Coturnix japonica: one gene and its partner. The protein of the gene in region 2 binds, or shares a complex with, the protein of the main gene of each other region. Links are inferred from orthologs where the notes say so. Each region holds a gene or a part of one and is shown on either strand. Other genes may lie near its edges.

Region 1 (4,196 bases), on a different chromosome or scaffold from region 2:
TGGCCTCCTTATCTCTCGGCCGGATCCAGCCAATGGCCGGGGTGGGGGGGTGGGGGAGGGAGGGGGCAGCCCTCAGCAAACTGCTGTTGTCACCTGCAAAGTTGAGAACCCGACTTACCGAGCTCTGTTTGCCTTTTTTTCCACCCACCCCCCCCCGCCCCCTCCAACCCGAAGTTAATATTAACCCGCGACTAATGCATTCGGCGGCTATTCCCCGAGCCTAACAATTCTCTCCGGGGGAAGATCTCTCCATGCTTGAAGGGTTCGAGGCGAAGGGCGAGGGGCTGCAGGACGGCAACCCCGAGTCCGACCCCTCTCCTTCGTCCCCTCTGCCCCAACCCGGCCCTCTTCCCTCTTTGTGTCTAAAGCAACCCGAAAGAAAGAAAGAAAGAAAGAAAAAAAACTATTTGTTTTCGTTCCGTTCGTCTGAGGGAAGTTGACAGAAGGTCAGGAGTTCACCCGCTGCCGTCTAATGCGGCGGGAGCCGTGCCCCGGGAGGGCATCCTCGCACCGCCCCCGGTCCGCACCGCTCCTCCGCACCCGCTCCGCCGCGCCGTGCCCCGCCGGGAGCCCATCTCCCGCGGAGCCGCCTCCTCCTCCTCCTCCTCTCCGCTCGAGGAGGGAAGGGTGAAACCCGAGCCGGCGCGATCGATGGGCGAGAGGAGTTAAGTGGAGCTGAAAATGCGAGATGCGGTGGCAGAAAGGGCGGAGGAGCGCTCAGCGGGGCGCGGGGGTTGCAGCTCCGCGTTCCGAGCTCCGCGCAGCGCACACGGAGCTCCGCGCTCCGCCCCGGCACAGACGCGCCGCCGCGCTCCCGAGGTACGCGGCGGATTTAAGGTGGTCGGGAAGAGATGGTGGCCCCGAGCCCCGGGAGAACCGGCAAACGTGCGGAAAATCAGGCCGAGAAGCTGGGAGAGTTTGGGAAATTCCCCCCCACCCTCCCCCCCCCCCTCCCTCCTTCCCCGCACCCCATCCGCGTCCACTCCCCGCCTCGTCCTTCCCCGCGAGTCCTGTTCTAGCGCTGAAGGTGGGGCTTAAATGTATTAATATTAAAAAAGCGCCGTTGACCTATATTTGGAGGAAACCCATTTCCAGTGCCTAGATTGCATGTAGTTTGAGAAACTCCGGGATTGGCAGAGCAATTGACTTCACCGAGCTCTCTGGTGAGCATGAATAATAATTACGAGGTGACTCTCGGAGAGGTTCTCTATCTCTCTCTCTCTTTCTTTCTCTCTCTCTCTTTTTGCATAAAATGGTTCCGCAATCCGATTCCGCCCGAGATCCAATATTTACCCGGTTGTAAACCTTGTGCCATCAGATTTTTTTAAACCCGAAGGTGATGCAATGCCGATAAGTTGCAAGTCCCTCCCCTATGGAAGTACCAGAGAGCTGGCGGCGAGCATCCTTAAAGAAATATCAATATATTTACGCTCTGATGGGCACAATCGCAAATGATGGTATTGCAATACGAGCTCTATCATACGGAATCAGGAGAGCCATGGTCGATCCGGCTTCAGCTGCCTTTTGTGAGTGCACGACTGCATGCCTACTAAATATAGAATACGCTCGCGAGGGAAAAAATAAATAAAAGGGTAAAATGAAATGAAACAGAGGGGAAAAAAAAAAAGAAAAAGAAAAAGAAACGAGCGATAAACCCGAGCGATAAACACGAGCGCGGAGGCTCCGCCGGCGACGGGAGAGAGCGGCCCAGCGGTCACTGAGCGCCCGCGGTCCTCGGATCTGGATGCAGTTTGTTTGAGCAAAGTGCATCCGTGGGGACGAACGCGAGCGGCGGTCCCTGCCCAAGTTCCAAGGGAACGCCATGGCGATGCCGGCTGGTATCGCACCGAACCCCCACCGGCGGCTCCGGCCCCGCTAACTTGTCTGAGAGATGGCATTGACATTACGGGGAAAGTAGCCGAGTTTGGAGGGCGGGGGGAAAGGGGGAGGGAAAGGGGGGGGCTCCCAAAAATGCTAAGACAGATGCGTCCTTTAGGGGTTCTCAGAGAGGTTAACAAACACAAATACAGGTATCTCTGTGGCTCTACCTGAGTCATCAGTCTGTCAGCTCCCGTGTTCTCTTCATCCTTAAAAATAATGTCAGGGTTGTAATTTGGGGTTAGTTCTTTAAATCTCTCGGAGTTTCTTGTGATCTTCCCTTCATATCTTCCACTGGCCCCTAGGGTCTTCTCTGCCACATTGGGAATAAACTGCTTATAGGCTAACGGGGTCAGCTTTTTGGGGTGCCTCCTTTTTCCAATGCCCCTGCCTGGTCCACAAGTCAGCCCAGAGGAGACTAAAAGAGCGCAGATGAAGCCCACCAAGAGAATTCTTGTCAACAGCAGCATTTCGTCCATTGAATCCAATTACTTCACAGCTCTCTGTGCCTATCCCTGGCTGTCTCTCTAGAGCTCTCTCTCCTCCTATGTCCTTGTCTGCTTTCTGATCGTATACTATCCACCGATCCCTAGCAAGACAGGTGCTGGAATGGCAGCCTTTAGGTCGCTGATAACGGAACACATCGGAGTTTGGTCGGGAGACAGCAATCGAGAGACAAAAAAGGGTCTGATTTTAATGGTAGCAAAGCAAGACGCTTGTGAGAGGAGTCTGCCTTTAGTTCTATATTATAGCTGCCAGGGCCGAGAGCTGATTGGCCAAGGCGAGACAAGCTTGTCTTCTGATGTTTTAACCCTCAAAAAGGCAACAAATTCTTGAAAGATTTTTTTTTCTTCTCCTTTTACCTGAAGGGCTCGGAGCTGAAAGGGGCGGGGATTCAGCTTTCTTGGGATAACATCAATTACACGCTGCTTGTTGGGTGTTTTTTTTTTTTTTTTCCTTTCTCTCCTTTTTAAGGAATAATAAAAACTTTCTTGGCAGAATGGTACATTCGACAGCACGGGGAAGGGACGCCTCTGCGAAATAGTAATAACAATAAATGCAAAATACATCAGGTTCGAGGGGTGCGAGGCGGGGCTCTGGGGGCAACTCTTAAAATACCGAATATATCGGGGAGCCCCGCGAATAGAAACCTAGTGGGGTAATGGTAGAGCTCGGGGGGAAAGTGAGCTGTGAGGTTGAGCCCACCTCGGGGGCTTTTGTAACAGGTTTCTTCCCTAGGAAAGGGACACCGCTCCCCTCGTACAGCCGCGCGTTGAACCACAGTCACGTTTTAACTGATAAATGACTGCTTTGGAGGGAGGAAAAACCGATAGGAGGAGGCAGCCGGGTGCCCGTCTGCATCATGCGGACACCTCAGCAGCGTTTATTAACGCATAAATAAATAAACAATAAAAATCAGAGCGGTCCCCATTGAAAATAACGCAGCGCCTCGGGAAAGTGGCCGCAGTCAGTGATGGCACAGCGCTGCGCTTTGTTCTGCGCTCCGAGCGGCTCTCTCGGCTCTCACACCTCCTCGCGGGGTGTCATTAAGTTTTGAAGGAGAGCGACGCGCTGAAAGCATCCGCAAACACAATTAGCAGCGATCGATCCAGGCAAAGTGAATGGCGGGGGGATAAGTTTAATGTGAAATTAATTGTTATCTCGTGCAGCGTGGCAAGTGATGTCTTTATCCCCGGTCTCCAAAAGCGACTGATCAGACAAAGGTGTTGAGAGACGAGCAGAACTGCAGCGATGGGGCTGATAGAGCAGGTCGGGCGGAAAGGCAGGGTCCCGTATGGACAAATACGGCTGCAAAGGGCTCCTCTGCTTTTGCTCCGGCGTGTACGCGATTTGTCCCAGCGTCCCGAAACTCGAAGAAGCTTTTTGGGAGTTCTCAAAAGTCCCGAGATGACAAGCTGTAGTGAGCCGAAGTCCTTAGTAAAAAATAATACATAGAAATCAGCTTTATTTAAGGAAAAATAAAACGCAGCTCTTTTGGAGAGAGAGATGATGCGGGAGTTTTCCCGTCTGAGTCGTAATCCGCTTAAAGCACGTGAAGATGGACTTGAAAATTAGTTTTTAAGTGGTTGAAAAAGAGTCAAGTAAAAGTTGTACGCCATGAACAGCAGCATGGAGGACCACCCCAACTTGCAAGGGACAAAGTGATCTTTCCTAGGTAAACTTTAGAGAAAGAGCTGAAAGAAGTGATTGGAAACTCTCGGATCGACTTTTCCCTCCCGTGCACCCACTCTCCTCTCCTGTTACTTATGTTTCTCCGTAACCTTCCAGTGAAGCTCTGCTTTCTCTTCCCCAACTTG
Region 2 (4,048 bases):
TTGACTTACTGTAAGTATCTGCAGCCATGTTTGTCTGTTGTTCTGAGAATGAATTGAAAATTCTTCTTCCTTATCGCTCCCAAAATACAATGGATTATATGTGTATGTGCACATGAGGGGAAAGGGAGGGATAATCTGCTGACAGAGGAATTTCTAAACTACATCTTAAGCTTTTCCTGTGCAAAAAGCACCATCAGGCAAGACTAGGCAAAAGTTCATGCTAACACAAACAAGATGCTGAACTTGGATGCAGAATGTTGCATGTGACAGCAGCCTTTTCAACACATGCAGGCAAACAGTGAATCAGCAGTGCCTAGATAACAAATGACAGCAATATCTTGGGACTCTAAAACTGCGTGTCGTGCTGTAAGATTTATGACTTATGAAGTCTCTGTGCTTTAAGGCCAGTTCCAGGATGCAAGAAAAACAACCAACACCCTACCCAAACCAAATGCAGAAAAGCAGTCCCTCTCCTCAAGGTTTGTAGTGTTGTAAAGGTCAACACGTGCCATGTAAACCCTTATTGGAACAGCAAAATTCCATATCGGGAGCTTGAGGCAGTCCATATTCAGAGAGCTTGTTTCAGATACTAAACGTTGTATGTATTTGCCTGCATCCCTGTGCTACCTCAGTCTCTTAATGTGCTGCCTTTGTTCTGTTTATTACTTATTTTAAGTAAAACAACTGTAGCTGGTAGAAAAACTGTTTTCTGTTTGCTCCATTTTGTATTGCTTGTGTTGCAGGAAAGAAGAAAAGTTAAATCAAATATTGCAAAATATTTTTCCAGGCTATGATCTGCAACTTTTGTTGCACTGTTGGCACAAAAAAAAATCCTTCCACAGCTATGGTAAATTAGTAACAGAGAAAGGTACTTTGTTACCTGTGGCCGGCTCCTTTTCTTTCTCCCTTCTAAAGGAGGGGAAGAGGTCATTGTTCCTCTCTGGCAGGTCTTGGCCAGATCCTTGTATTCCAACCTGATAATGATGTTCAGTCTCTGCTGTTCTACAACTTTACTCTGCTTCTTAAGTCACTTCAGCCTTTTAAGTCTTTTCGTGCTTTTCTGGAAACCTTTTGCTTTAATATGTAACTCTTTCAGCATGCTACATCCACACAAGTCTTAAATGTCTCCAGGGATAGTGACTCCTCTGCGCAGCCTGTGCCAGTGCATCACCACTCTGAGAGTAATTTTTTCTTAATATCCCACCGTGTCCCTGTTACTGAGGTTGTGGGTTTTATTTCTTCTCTCTCACCTTAAAGGCTGAGCCAAGCTGCCAAGAGTTCCAGTAACAGTGGTGGAGCTGGCCAACGGGCATCTTCTGCTGCCAACAAGCTGGAGATCCTGGAGGAGAAAGAGATCTTCCTCTTCTGGAAGGAGGAAAGTGGAGCAGTTCAAGGTGAGAACATCGCTGGTGCTCCTGTCTGGGGGTCCTGCTTTGTCATGTATGTATTACTTATTACTTGTCTGATGTGAATGTCTACTCAGCTTTGCTTTATTCTTCTCACGTTATTGAGAGGCTGTCCCGTAGCTGGTGATTTTTTGGCATTTAGCTCTGTTGACCTCCCATCCCAAGCTGATGATGTCTGAGTTTCTGGCTGCCAAGTCATGTTTTGATGCTGAAAGGTGGTAGTTGATTTACTTTCTGTTCTATGTAAGTAGGAATGTACTGAAACTGATGGAACCAAGCGTTTGTATAGGACCGGGTGCTTGAGCTCAAATTATAGCGTTGGTTGGACTGAAAACCTCAATGAGCTTCTACGCAGTGTAGGGAAGACATACCTGTAATAAACCCTGTAGTTTGTGCTTGACAGGAACGTTTGAATGTCACCATTCAGTTCTCTTGATGTTTAGGATTTCTAAGTCTGTGTCAAAACAACAGTGCTCAATTAAACTATGCACTTTTTATTTGGGTTGCCTGAGATCAATGGCTTTAAAACATATTTTTAAAGTGAAACTTTCCATGACACTCTAAAATTGAACAGTGTATTATATCATAAATAATTGTGAAAATTTGCATTTTCCTATCAGTATTATTGATAGTGTTTTGATACTTCTGTGATGAATGATTTGTTATGAAACGCTTTAGAACCACATAGGAAAGAGTTAATAAAGGTTAATCTGCTTCATTTTTCTTGTAAGCTTTTCAATTGGAAAGATGAAATAGGTAAATATCCAGATTGTTTCAGCACTGTCTAGTAGCGGGCAGAAGGATTTCCACTTCGGTGCTGCACTTCATTAAAGAGTTATAAACAGGAATGCTGCAGAAGTGTACTGTGGGCACGTGAGGAGATTTCTAATAACCTCAAGGCTGGCTTCCAAATGATCTTATTAATTCTGTGAGTAATCTGGGGAAAATCAGTAGGGTTTCTCTGACTTTTGCCCTTGAGGCTGCAGTTTTTACAGCTTGGAGCAACTATTACTAACAATAGCTCTTGAAGTGTAGTTTTAAAAACCCTAGGAAATGTGTTCCTGTTTTTCTTTCTGTTGCAGTTACAACTGGACAACTCCACTTCTTTAGCCCCTAACTCAGTGTGCCCCTGTTCCTGGAAACATATTTAGAATGCTGTAATGAAGTTTTTCACTTGCCTGAAGTACATCAGATGTTGTGCATGAGCATGGTTTCCAGTGGAGACTTAAATGTGCAGGCAGCTGCTGCCTGTGAGTCACACTCTTCCCTAGGTAAGGAAGGGAAGGACATTGCTCAGCCCCTGGGAACTTGGTGATTCCAGTTCTTGAGTGTTGGGAAAGTTTCTGTTCTATTCACTGACTGCTCTGAAGGAAGGTCTGGTTTCTAGATGCTGCTTCTCACAATGTATACAGAACTGTTAACTATATCTAAACACGTCTCACTGCAAGGCTGATCATTACTATGCAAATTAACCTTGGTTGCTCTGAGAACTGTTTCTCAGTCAAGGCAAGGGGTATTTTGTACCTTACCATGCAGCATTACAAGCATATTTCTTTGTTATGTATCCACATAACTGATGCGCTTGCAGTTTTCTAATGTTGCCTTATCTGTCTGCTTTAAAAGTCAGATTTTGCTAAAATATGCCCTTTCAAACAAGTTAAATGGAAGAACACATAATGTGATTCAACAAAGTTGTAAAGAAATTATTTGATACTATTTAATCCGAGGTGACTATTTCATTTCTAGCTTAGCATTACAATTCTATGATCTTCTGTTAAGAAGCAGGTTTTATTGAATCCAGGTAGTTGCAATAAGAAAACCTGCTTTCTTTAGCTTGTTCATGAACTAGATACACTGAGAGCTCATTTTTGATTTTTCTGCTAATTTCCATCCATGCGTCTGTCATTGTCCTTCTGATACTGCAAGACATGTTATGTCTATTTCTGATTTCAAGTGAAAACAAAGTCAACAGTACATTTGATACTTATAGCCCAGCCCTGAGCTGTAGGAAACACCACTTTTGTACTTAAGGCATTAGATATCAATGCGTTTTGCTTTGTTCTTTCTGCTTTTCATCTCCAACAATTAAAGGAATATGAAGTCAAGCTGCTTTAGAAAAGTTTCTTGGATACTGCTAGGAAGCATGTTAATGTCTGTGAGTATGCCCAAATGGGACAGTTATTGACATATGCAACCAGTAAGCAAAGGTGTGTTGTGAACTGGGTTTCCAATAGCTGCAGGGTTGAGGTAATTCACAGAGATGTGGAATCTGGAGTGTTTCATGAATATCATTGTGAATTCTGGTACTTGGGCCATCACAGGTGAGTTGGGAAATGGGCCCTTTATCCTTTCAGACAGTTTGAAGTGCAGGCTTCTGAACTGTTCACCTATGTGCACAGATACGCACAACTGTTCTTTTGTCTCTTTTAAGGCAACTTTGTAGATATGAAAAGCATTTCAGAAAAGTCTACATATAATATAGTGGCACATACTGCTATTTCTGAAGTTCTGTGTTTTTGAGGCTTACTGGTTTTCGGTATTTTCTCTGAGTGGTAGGAGCTTTGGTGATGAATGGCTAGCATTTTATTCAGTGATCTTCTGACAGTTGAAAGTAGCTGCCTAGTTTGATTTGATGTTGGTAA

The links. Proteins that work in one complex are often made in the same cells at the same time.
Region 1: the proteins of DISP1 (region 2) and SHH are in contact, whole or in part, in a cryo-EM structure (PDB 7E2I), measured with the Homo sapiens proteins. The link is inferred for Coturnix japonica from reciprocal best matches to the Homo sapiens genes DISP1 and SHH. Residues at the interface, in NP_001356523.1 of Homo sapiens: Lys242, Thr244, Gly245, Tyr246, Lys247, Ala248, Glu260, His265, Arg299, Phe336, Gly337, Asp338, Leu339, Cys340, Gln341, Arg342, Thr343, Glu459, Arg899, His904, Asp906; in NP_000184.1 of Homo sapiens: Pro49, Asn50, Val51, Thr55, Leu56, Gly57, Ala58, Arg68, Glu71, Phe73, Lys74, Leu76, Thr77, Pro78, Tyr80, Pro82, Arg96, Leu97, Gln100, Lys186.

What each region holds. Positions count from the first base shown.
Region 1 is NC_029517.1:7,183,751-7,187,946, forward strand, and holds the start of SHH (sonic hedgehog protein), read right to left. Parts: upstream 2,801-4,196; 5' UTR 2,358-2,800; coding exon 2,049-2,357; intron 1,527-2,048; exon of another isoform or gene 91-1,526; intron 1-90.
Region 2 is NC_029518.1:15,615,008-15,619,055, reverse strand, and holds the start of DISP1 (protein dispatched homolog 1), read left to right. Parts: upstream 1-1,248; 5' UTR 1,249-1,394; intron 1,395-4,048. UniProt on the Homo sapiens protein: Functions in hedgehog (Hh) signaling. Regulates the release and extracellular accumulation of cholesterol-modified hedgehog proteins and is hence required for effective production of the Hh signal. Synergizes with SCUBE2 to cause an increase in SHH secretion.